Oryzias latipes: one gene and its partner. The protein of the gene in region 1 purifies or fractionates together with the protein of each later gene. This does not show direct contact. Links are inferred from orthologs where the notes say so. Each region holds a gene or a part of one and is shown in the gene's direction. Other genes may lie near its edges.

What was found.
Region 2: the proteins of bet1 (region 1) and gosr2 purify together in Homo sapiens (affinity purification with mass spectrometry; 3 studies listed by BioGRID and IntAct, with this or other methods). This does not show direct contact. The link is inferred for Oryzias latipes from reciprocal best matches to the Homo sapiens genes BET1 and GOSR2.

What each region holds. Positions count from the first base shown.
Region 1 is NC_019869.2:10,286,712-10,291,039, reverse strand, and holds bet1 (BET1 homolog), read left to right. Parts: upstream 1-1,673; 5' UTR 1,674-1,815; coding exon 1,816-1,834; intron 1,835-2,016; coding exon 2,017-2,123; intron 2,124-2,260; coding exon 2,261-2,317; intron 2,318-2,699; coding exon 2,700-2,855; 3' UTR 2,856-3,758; downstream 3,759-4,328. Other genes in the region: probable acyl-CoA dehydrogenase 6, read right to left, coding at 3,881-3,971. UniProt on the Homo sapiens protein: Required for vesicular transport from the ER to the Golgi complex. Functions as a SNARE involved in the docking process of ER-derived vesicles with the cis-Golgi membrane.
Region 2 is NC_019866.2:6,916,366-6,920,780, forward strand, and holds the start of gosr2 (Golgi SNAP receptor complex member 2), read left to right. Parts: upstream 1-1,452; 5' UTR 1,453-1,595; coding exon 1,596-1,624; intron 1,625-1,840; coding exon 1,841-1,905; intron 1,906-2,418; coding exon 2,419-2,527; intron 2,528-3,577; coding exon 3,578-3,710; intron 3,711-3,880; coding exon 3,881-4,021; intron 4,022-4,360; coding exon 4,361-4,415. UniProt on the Homo sapiens protein: Involved in transport of proteins from the cis/medial-Golgi to the trans-Golgi network.

The sequences.
Region 1 (4,328 bases):
CTATCTTTATCTATCTATCTATCTATCTATCTATCTATCTATCTATCTATCTATCTATCTATCTATCTATCTATCTATCTATCTATCTATCTATCTATCTATCTATCTATCTATCTATCTATCTATCTATCTATCTATCTATCTATCTATCTATCTAATCTATCTATCTATCTATCTATCTATCTATCTATCTATCTATCTATCTATCTATCTATCTATCTATCTATCTATCTATCTATCTATCTATCTATCTATCTATCTATCTATCTATCTATCTATCTATCTATCTATCTATCTATCTATCTATCTATCTATCTATCTATCTATCTATCTATCTATCTATCTATCTATCTATCTATCTATCTATCTATCTATCTATCTATCTATCTATCTATCTATCTATCTATCTATCTATCTATCTATCTATCTATCTATCTATCTATCTATCTATCTATCTATCTATCTATCTATCTATCTATCTATCTATTCTATCTATCTATCTATCTATCTATCTATCTATCTATCTATCTATCTATCTATCTATCTATCTATCTATCTATCTATCTATCTATCTATCTATCTATCTATCTATCTATCTATCTATCTATCTATCTATCTATCTTATCTATCTATCTATCTATCTATCTATCTATCTATCTATCTATCTATCTATCTATCTATCTATCTATCTATCTATCTATCTATCTATCTATCTATCTAAGATAGCACAAGGGTTAAAGATAGGGTGAGGAGCTCGGTCACCTGCAGAGAGCTCGGAGTAGAACCGCTGCTCCTCCACATTGTGAGGAGCCAGTTGATGTGGCTCAAGCATCTGGTCCAGATGCAATGGTCACCTCCCTTGGGAGGTGTTCCTTGCATGTCCCACTGGGCAACAAAAATGGCGAGCAATACTGGAGCTATCCAGTTGTCCAGTTTTGATCCAGATGCCAGATCAGACAAGTAAAACAAAGACATACATGAATCCAGTCGACAACAAGTGGATCCATCAGAACTCAGCAGGGAGGTAGGTGCCAGTATTTTTGTCTGCTCCTGATTAACAACAATTGGAATAAAGAAACACTCAGAAACCCAATTTGAAGCCTAAATATCTTAATTAATGTTCGCCATCTTCCAACAAATGCCACAAGAACATGTTAAAACACTAAAAACACAATCTTCATCTGAGTGGGGTTTTAAATGGTGATTCTCTTGAACAATTTTCAAATAAAAGATGAGAAAAAGAACAACATTTTCTTTCTGAAGGCACAGTGACTTTATTCTGATTAGAAAACAGACAATGCAAATAAAGAAAAGTATTAAAGAAATAGCAACAGCAGAATTGCAGCTACAAACATGGTGTTTTAAGAGTGACATAATACTTAAATCCTGTTTCATGTGCGATGATTGGGTCTCGTAATTTAGAATTAAAAGAAGAAAGAAACACAATAGCAAAAATCTGGATTATTTATTCAGTAACAATGTAATTTTAGAAACTACAAAAACAATAAAAATAATAATATTAATTTGTCAAAAGATTATATTATTCAATATACCTTTTCAAAATGTGGAATAATATTTGGGTATTTAGTACCCAAAGGGATAAACGTACACTATTTTAGGAATCATTTACTTGATTTTTTTTTGTGGATTTTTTTTAGCTTTTACATTATTACATAGGATTTGTCCTTCTCGGCCACCGTATGATGTCGTGGCGTTTCCCTATGTGTAGAGACTAGACCTCTGATTATTTTTAAACTTTTCATTGTTTAATTCTTCGGAATATACTGTGGACATTTTCGGCTTCAGTGAGTAAGGATGAGACGCGCTGGTTTGGGTAAGAAACGAGTCTAAAACTGGGAAGTTTCAGATCGCTAGCCAGCTAACATGGTAGCTAGCATTAGCTAATGTTGTTTTCACTGGTGGATGGATGCAACACTCTGAGGCGTAGTTACATTTTTAATAAGGCTCTTGGCTTTATTCTCAGCATTTAATATTGTTTTTTGTTGTCTTGTGTAGGTGAAGGAGGCTCCGGGAATTATGTGGCGAGTGGCTACAGTGTTTATGAGGAGGAAAATGATCATTTACAGGAGGGACTGAGAGCTAAAGTCAGCGCCTTGAAAAGTGTAAGACCAGCTGCGACACAAAACTGTGCCTTCGTCTGTCACTATTCACTTGTTTCTGTTACCAATTTCTAGTTTTAAAAGCTATTTTACAAGTTTTACTTATCTAACAATCAATTCCTGTCTCTTGTCATTCCCAGCTGACTATTGATATTGGAACAGAGGTTAAATACCAGAATAAGATGTTGGAAGATATGGTGGGTTTCTCTTTGTATTTAAATGGCAAAGAAGTACCTTTACAGTTACTCTAAAGTCCTCACTCCTATGAAAAATGGTTTTAACATGTTCTTGTAGCAGCTTTCTCATGATGTATGGCATAAAAAGAAACAAAGATTAAACTTGTGTTTCTGAGTATTTCTTTATTCAAATTGTTTTAAATCGGGAGCAGACAAAAAATAAATCAAGCTTGAAAAAGAGTTTATTTTTGCTGTAGAAAATTGATTCTGGCTAAAAACAGCAGAATCATAATTAAAAGACAGAGGGACAATAGCTCAAAGAGTGGGATTTTAATAGTACCGACTTAGTAAACATTTTCTTGGATTTGAAGCGGTTCCTGATCCCCCCCTCATCTCTTCACAGGACTCGGACTTTGATTCTACAGGCGGACTGTTGGGAGCCACCATTGGCAGAGTAAAGCAGCTGTCCAGAGGGAGCCAGACCAAACTGCTCTGCTACATGCTGCTCTTCTGCCTTTTTGTCTTCTTTGTCCTCTACTGGTTCATCAAGCTGAGGTGATAAGAGCATCTTGTTGGACTTTGCCCCTTAGCTCCACGTCTTCATTCCCATTCACTAGCAGCTCTGACCTAAAAAAACACTTGTTCAATTGGTTAGGTGGGGATTTTTTTCTTTCGAGCATCATTTTGTTTCCTGATGTCCCCTAAATGAGCCATGAAAGGGCTTGAAATAGAAAATAGACAAGAAATAAACTTTGAAAGTGTTCATCTTTAACAAGGCAAATGACCCAGGAAAGCACCTTGTATACCATTTGTATACCTAACACATTAGTATTTGTGTTGCACAGCTACAGCTCAGTTATGATTAAACAAACAGGATCCACAGTCCAAGATACAACAGCTGCTGATGAGTTATTTTTTGTAAATGAGGTTAAGGTGGTTTGAGCTGTGGAATAATTAAACACAATTTGGTGTACTTATGTCAAGGAGGGAGTTGATATGGACAGGTTTGAACACAAGTACGGTAATTACAACTCATGTTGATGAGTTTTGGACAGCCAAATGAATTAAAGGCTGCCGATAGTCCTAAAAACCTAAAATCACAACTAAACAATTCAGTCTTAAATGCTGCCAGAGCAAAGTTTCCATAATAAAACACAATTTCAACATTGTTTTTTGCTATTTTAATTCTTCTGCCACTGATTTACAAACTATGAGCATAAACATTTGTTATACAAAATTATGTCAATCTTATTTCAACTGTTCAGTCCCATAAATGTGGACACACACAGTGCAGCACATAAGGGACACGTCTGTATTACATCACCTGACATTGTAAATCACCACAGAGACCTTCATTCTTGAGTAAAAATGTAAATAAAAACAGATTTTATGGCATCGTTTGTGTTTCCATGCTGGATGTGTTCAAAGCGTTTAACATAACTTCATCAATAAAAGAAGCAAACAATTACAAGAGATTTCCAAACTAATTTTTTTTTTACAAATATCTGAACAGGTCAGGATGGTTTAAAATTGCACTCTTGTATTAATTATCATCGTCTGAGCAGGAATCTGCTGCAAATGACATCACTTCCGGGGTAAAGTGTCCATGAACTTGCAGATTATTCCCAGCATCACCTCATCAGCCCCGGCGCCGATGGACAATAACCTGGAATCCCTGGAGGAGAGAGAAAAAAAGCAACAACACACTTCTGTAATTAACTGTCACTCAGGTGCTCATAAGTCCAGTCTTTGCATGAAAGTTCAACTTCAAGTCTCTAGTCTGTCAAACTTTAAATTAAACCGCAAATCTTAAGACTTGCAGTAAAAAAAATGAACATTTATTTGGTAATTAACTAGTAACCCTTGTGCTATTCTAGGCACTTTAATATTGGGAGTTGGGTCATCTAGACCCACTAGACAGTGCTCTGAACCTTTTTTCTTCAATGATTTGTGATCTTCACTGGTGTCCATGGATTAAATGAAATCTTTCCACCTTTGTCGTGGTAGGGAGAACACGTCAAAGTAAGGGTGG
Region 2 (4,415 bases), on another chromosome or scaffold:
GTGTGAATGAAAACCAGTAAGCTCATCTCATCCTCTCCCCGGGGCTGAAAAATAAAGGACAGACGGAGAAAAACCACCCGACCCAAATTCACCTTGTGTACATCTCCGAAAAGATCTGGCAGGGGGTTTCATCCTCTATATGCTTTTTCAGTTTTTTTAACCTGCAGGTTTAAAGCTGTGCACATCCAGTCGCTGCCCTAAAGTTATGTTATGACAACCAAGAACGTTGAGCAGCAAGAGCAAGAAGTGGCTTGAACAGATCTCAGGGTTTCTGACATGTGGGGGGTAGAAAAAAGGACCACTGTTGAGGTGTCTAGCCTGAAGATACAACCATCAGCTTGTGTACCATTAGGCTGCCATGGGAGACTGTCTGGGTCGGTGTCTGATTGTTGAATGAGGAAAACAAACAAACAGGAGCTTTTAATATGTTTTGCAGATAATTCTATCAAAGGATGCTTCCATGAACTTTACTTACCCTGCATTTATTCAAAAGTTACACCCTTGAAAATCAGCAGACACCATAGTGATGGAGATCTGGCCTGAGTTGATTGAGATGTGGCTTTGATAAAGTGCCAGCAGCGCCCAAGGAAGATTTTACTTGCATTAAATCACCAAGGAAGTTTGGTCATATTTTTCTCAACATGTTCTGGGAAATCCAACCATGCTATTTTCACACAGTACTCTGTGTCAGAGCCAACCTGTAAGTGATAAGCTCACAAATCTCTTTTCTCTTCACACTGACATCCTCTCCAAAGGGATCCACCACTTCATCTTGCAAATAAAACGTTTGATTTTCTTAACTTTAGAGTCTTTGATTGCAGGTTAAAAGGAAAATTCTGGATGGAAAAACAAAAATATTCTTACATCCTCCCATTAAAGAAAAAAAAACACTTAGATCCAGTCAGTGAGAGCTGACGAAAGGTAGCCTCAGGACACACATGTCAGTCTTTCCTGTCACATGTCTACATGTCAACAGATTATGCTCCTGCTCTTAAAGCTTGTGGGTCAAAAGGGTTTGTCAGCTACTGCTTTTCAGAGGTGCAATGACAAATGTTGCCCACAACTTACTTTTTGAATTGGTGTATCATCAAAAACAAAATGACTTATTATCTAGAGCTAGAGTCCAAAAATAAAATTAAACATCAAAGTTTTCAACTTAAAAAACGATTGAATGTTATTTGATGAGTAATTTATTTTCCAATTCTTTATTTTTTTTAACCATTAAATACTTATAATAAACATTAAACAAAGATAATATAGAAACTAATTTGTTGCAACACAGATAATGTGCACTTTTTATGCTATTTACCATAAATAACAGCTTTACCGCTTTAAATTTGATTATTAAAAAAAGAAAACATAAATGTCAAAGAGAATACTCTGTGTAGTTTTTTTGAAACAGAGTGAGCACTCCTGTTACTATGGAGCTGCTCAGCTTCCGCTTTCTCACTTCCGTACACAAATACTTGGCTGATGACGTGTACACTGCCCTACCGTTAGTAAGCTAGCTTAGCCGGCTGTCAGAATAAGGGTCGCTAGAAAGAAAATAAAAAAGGTAGCGATACAAGAAAAAGGGTCTTCGTCACACATGTAAAATGGAGACGCTTTACCACCAAACAAATAAGTGAGTAAAATGTATTTCCGTAGAAATATTGCAGACCTGTTTAGCTAACTTTAGCTCACAATTTTAAGGCTAACATGTTTCCCCAAATAAAACAATTTAATATAACCAATACGTATTCTTTTCTTTTTTTTTAATCAGTAAACGTATTTTTAAAATAAAGGACAAATATTGAGCTAGTTGCTTTTTATTAACCTGTTTTGTTTTTGGCTGGATTAGGCAAATCCAGGAGGTTCAGTGTCTGATGGGAAACCTGGAGAAGACAGACCGTCAGTCAGTTCACTGTAAGTTCTTCTGAATGGATCATTTGACCGTTCTTAACATCTGTCATCCTTCTTTTCGGTGTGTGTTTGCTTGTGGTGTTTATTTCTGTCCGGGGGGGGGGGGGGGGGGGTTGTCATTGTTTTGGCTGATTGCTAATGTTTTGAACACACAAACAGGACAGCGGGGGGTTGAATTGCTCCTGCCTGGTCGTTGTCTGTGGATGGTGGTGCCTACCCCATCAGCCCAGGGCGAGGCTGGTCCCGGTCTCACTGGCACAGGAAGTCGTTGGGTGGGAGCAATGACAGAAGCTGAGAGGGCATGGCTTTTAGATAATGTTAGGAGCCAGGCAACCTTTGTTCCTTCCACATATGATGACATCACTTTGTTGTTTCTCCCAAGAAGGACATAGGTCCATTGTGGAGGGTCATTTTGTTACTAGCTGCTGATCTGGGAGGGGAAACTTGGGATAAATGTCATTTTTTTTCACAATTATTGGGGGATTTAAAAGTTTTCTTCTGTTTCTCAATTTTAAGTGCTAGAGAATGAACTCCAGATCCGGACTGACCAGATCCTCAATCAGCTTGAGCGACTTGAGATCCTGGTCAGCAAGGAACCACCGAATCGCCGCCAGAACGCCAAATTGTAAGTTTAGAGTCACTGTGGTCATAAAGCTCCAAAAGTGACAGGGGTGTAGAAGACCAGACAGGCAGCCCGTCCTGCCCCGAGGCGTCGAGTCTCTATAAAAACATTTCCTCAGAAGCCCCGTCATCACCAGCATTCCTGCTGCATCGAGCAGATTCATCTTTGAGCTGGGTAAACAGGCCTCGGGGGACACAGTTTATCCCATCCCAGAGCTTTCCTGTGATCCCAGCAAGTGCCTTGGACCTGGGAGGGACTCTTCATTTCAACTGCGTGAGATTGGAAGTCAGCAAAAATGTTATTATCCAAAGAATCACGAAAGCTACAGTCAAACTTTGCGACAAACTAGTGATAAACAAATTGAAACAAATCAAAAGCTGATGTAAAATGTTTTTATTCCACTTCTAATATTTCTGAGCGGGTGGGATGAACACGAAGACCTCATTGCACCGTGTTTAAAGATCCACTCTGATCATCTTTTGTAAAAGCGTTCCCTATGGTCTTTATAATTATGTTTATGCTGTTTTTAGCCAAAAATAACAAAAAAAAACTGTGTTTTCTGGGACATAGTTTCTGCAAGCGGCAGAAGAAAAGTTGCCTCTGAATTGTGTGGGTGGGATCATTGGCGTGGTGTAACCCCGCCCCCCCTTCCTCTTCTTGTTGCTGAGAGCTCGGAGGAGGGAGCTTGTGCGTATTTTCTATGTAACGAAGAAGCTCTTTTTCATTTTTTCGTCTGCTCCTGATTCCCAACAATTTGAATAAAGAAACATTTCTTTGAGTCTAATCTTGTTTTAATATCATCAGAAAAACACTACAAGAAACATGTTAGAAACTCTTTAAGTGAAGAAATTAGTAATCACAAATGTAAAAATATTTTTAAAAGGTCATGAAAATTTTCAATTTACCCTACAAATATGGCATTTCTCTCAGCTACAACCAGCTAGAAAGAAATTAGTTTCCTTCAGCTGAGCGGATAAGGTAAAGATAAAACCCCCCGTACACACACCAGTCGTTTGATTAAAAAAAAAATAATAATTTTCTGCTGTCTCTCAGACGAGTCGACCAGCTGAAGTACGATGTGCAGCACCTACGGACCGCCCTACAAAACTTCCAACATCGACGCTATACCAGAGAGGCGCAGGAAAGAGAGAGGGAGGAACTGCTGAGCCGCACTTTCACCACAAACGTAAGTTATAAGATCCTGAAAAAAAGGCTGAAATACAAACTCAGATTCTTTGAAGTGTCCAACAAAATCGGCAAACATCTGTAAAGTTGTTTATTCAGGATATTGATGCTGGAAACAAAGTAATCCATGAAAATGTCAGTATTAAGCTAAACAGTTGTTTTGATTAACAGGATGCAGATACATCCATCCCCATTGACGAGACTCTGCAGTTTAACAGCAGTTTGCACAACGCACACAGAGGAATGGATGACCTGCTGGGCAGCGGCAGTGGCATACTCAACGGCCTCAGAGATCAGAGATCTACACTCAAGGTTTGTGTGAAGGAGCCCTAACCTACCAAACTATAAAAAAAAAAAATGCCTGCGAGCGCTGCAGAAAGGAGCCCGCATGGTTGTTTGATCAAAATTCCTTATTGTTACTGAGCATATTCCCAGCCACAGAGTGACTCCGTGTTTCCAGGGAGGAGATGGGCTTCCTGGTTTGGCTTCAGACGTCCTCTTATCAGGGTGTGACTGATCACCACCCATAGCCTTGAACCTCAACCATGAGAAACTGGCCGTGCCCGGAATGTGTTGGCACTCGCAAAACCAATAACCATAGAAAATGACGTTTTATTCCTTTTTTTTTTTTGTGGTTCTGGTTCTTCACAGGGAACCCATAAGAAGATGCTGGATGTGGCCAACATGCTGGGGCTTTCGAACACTG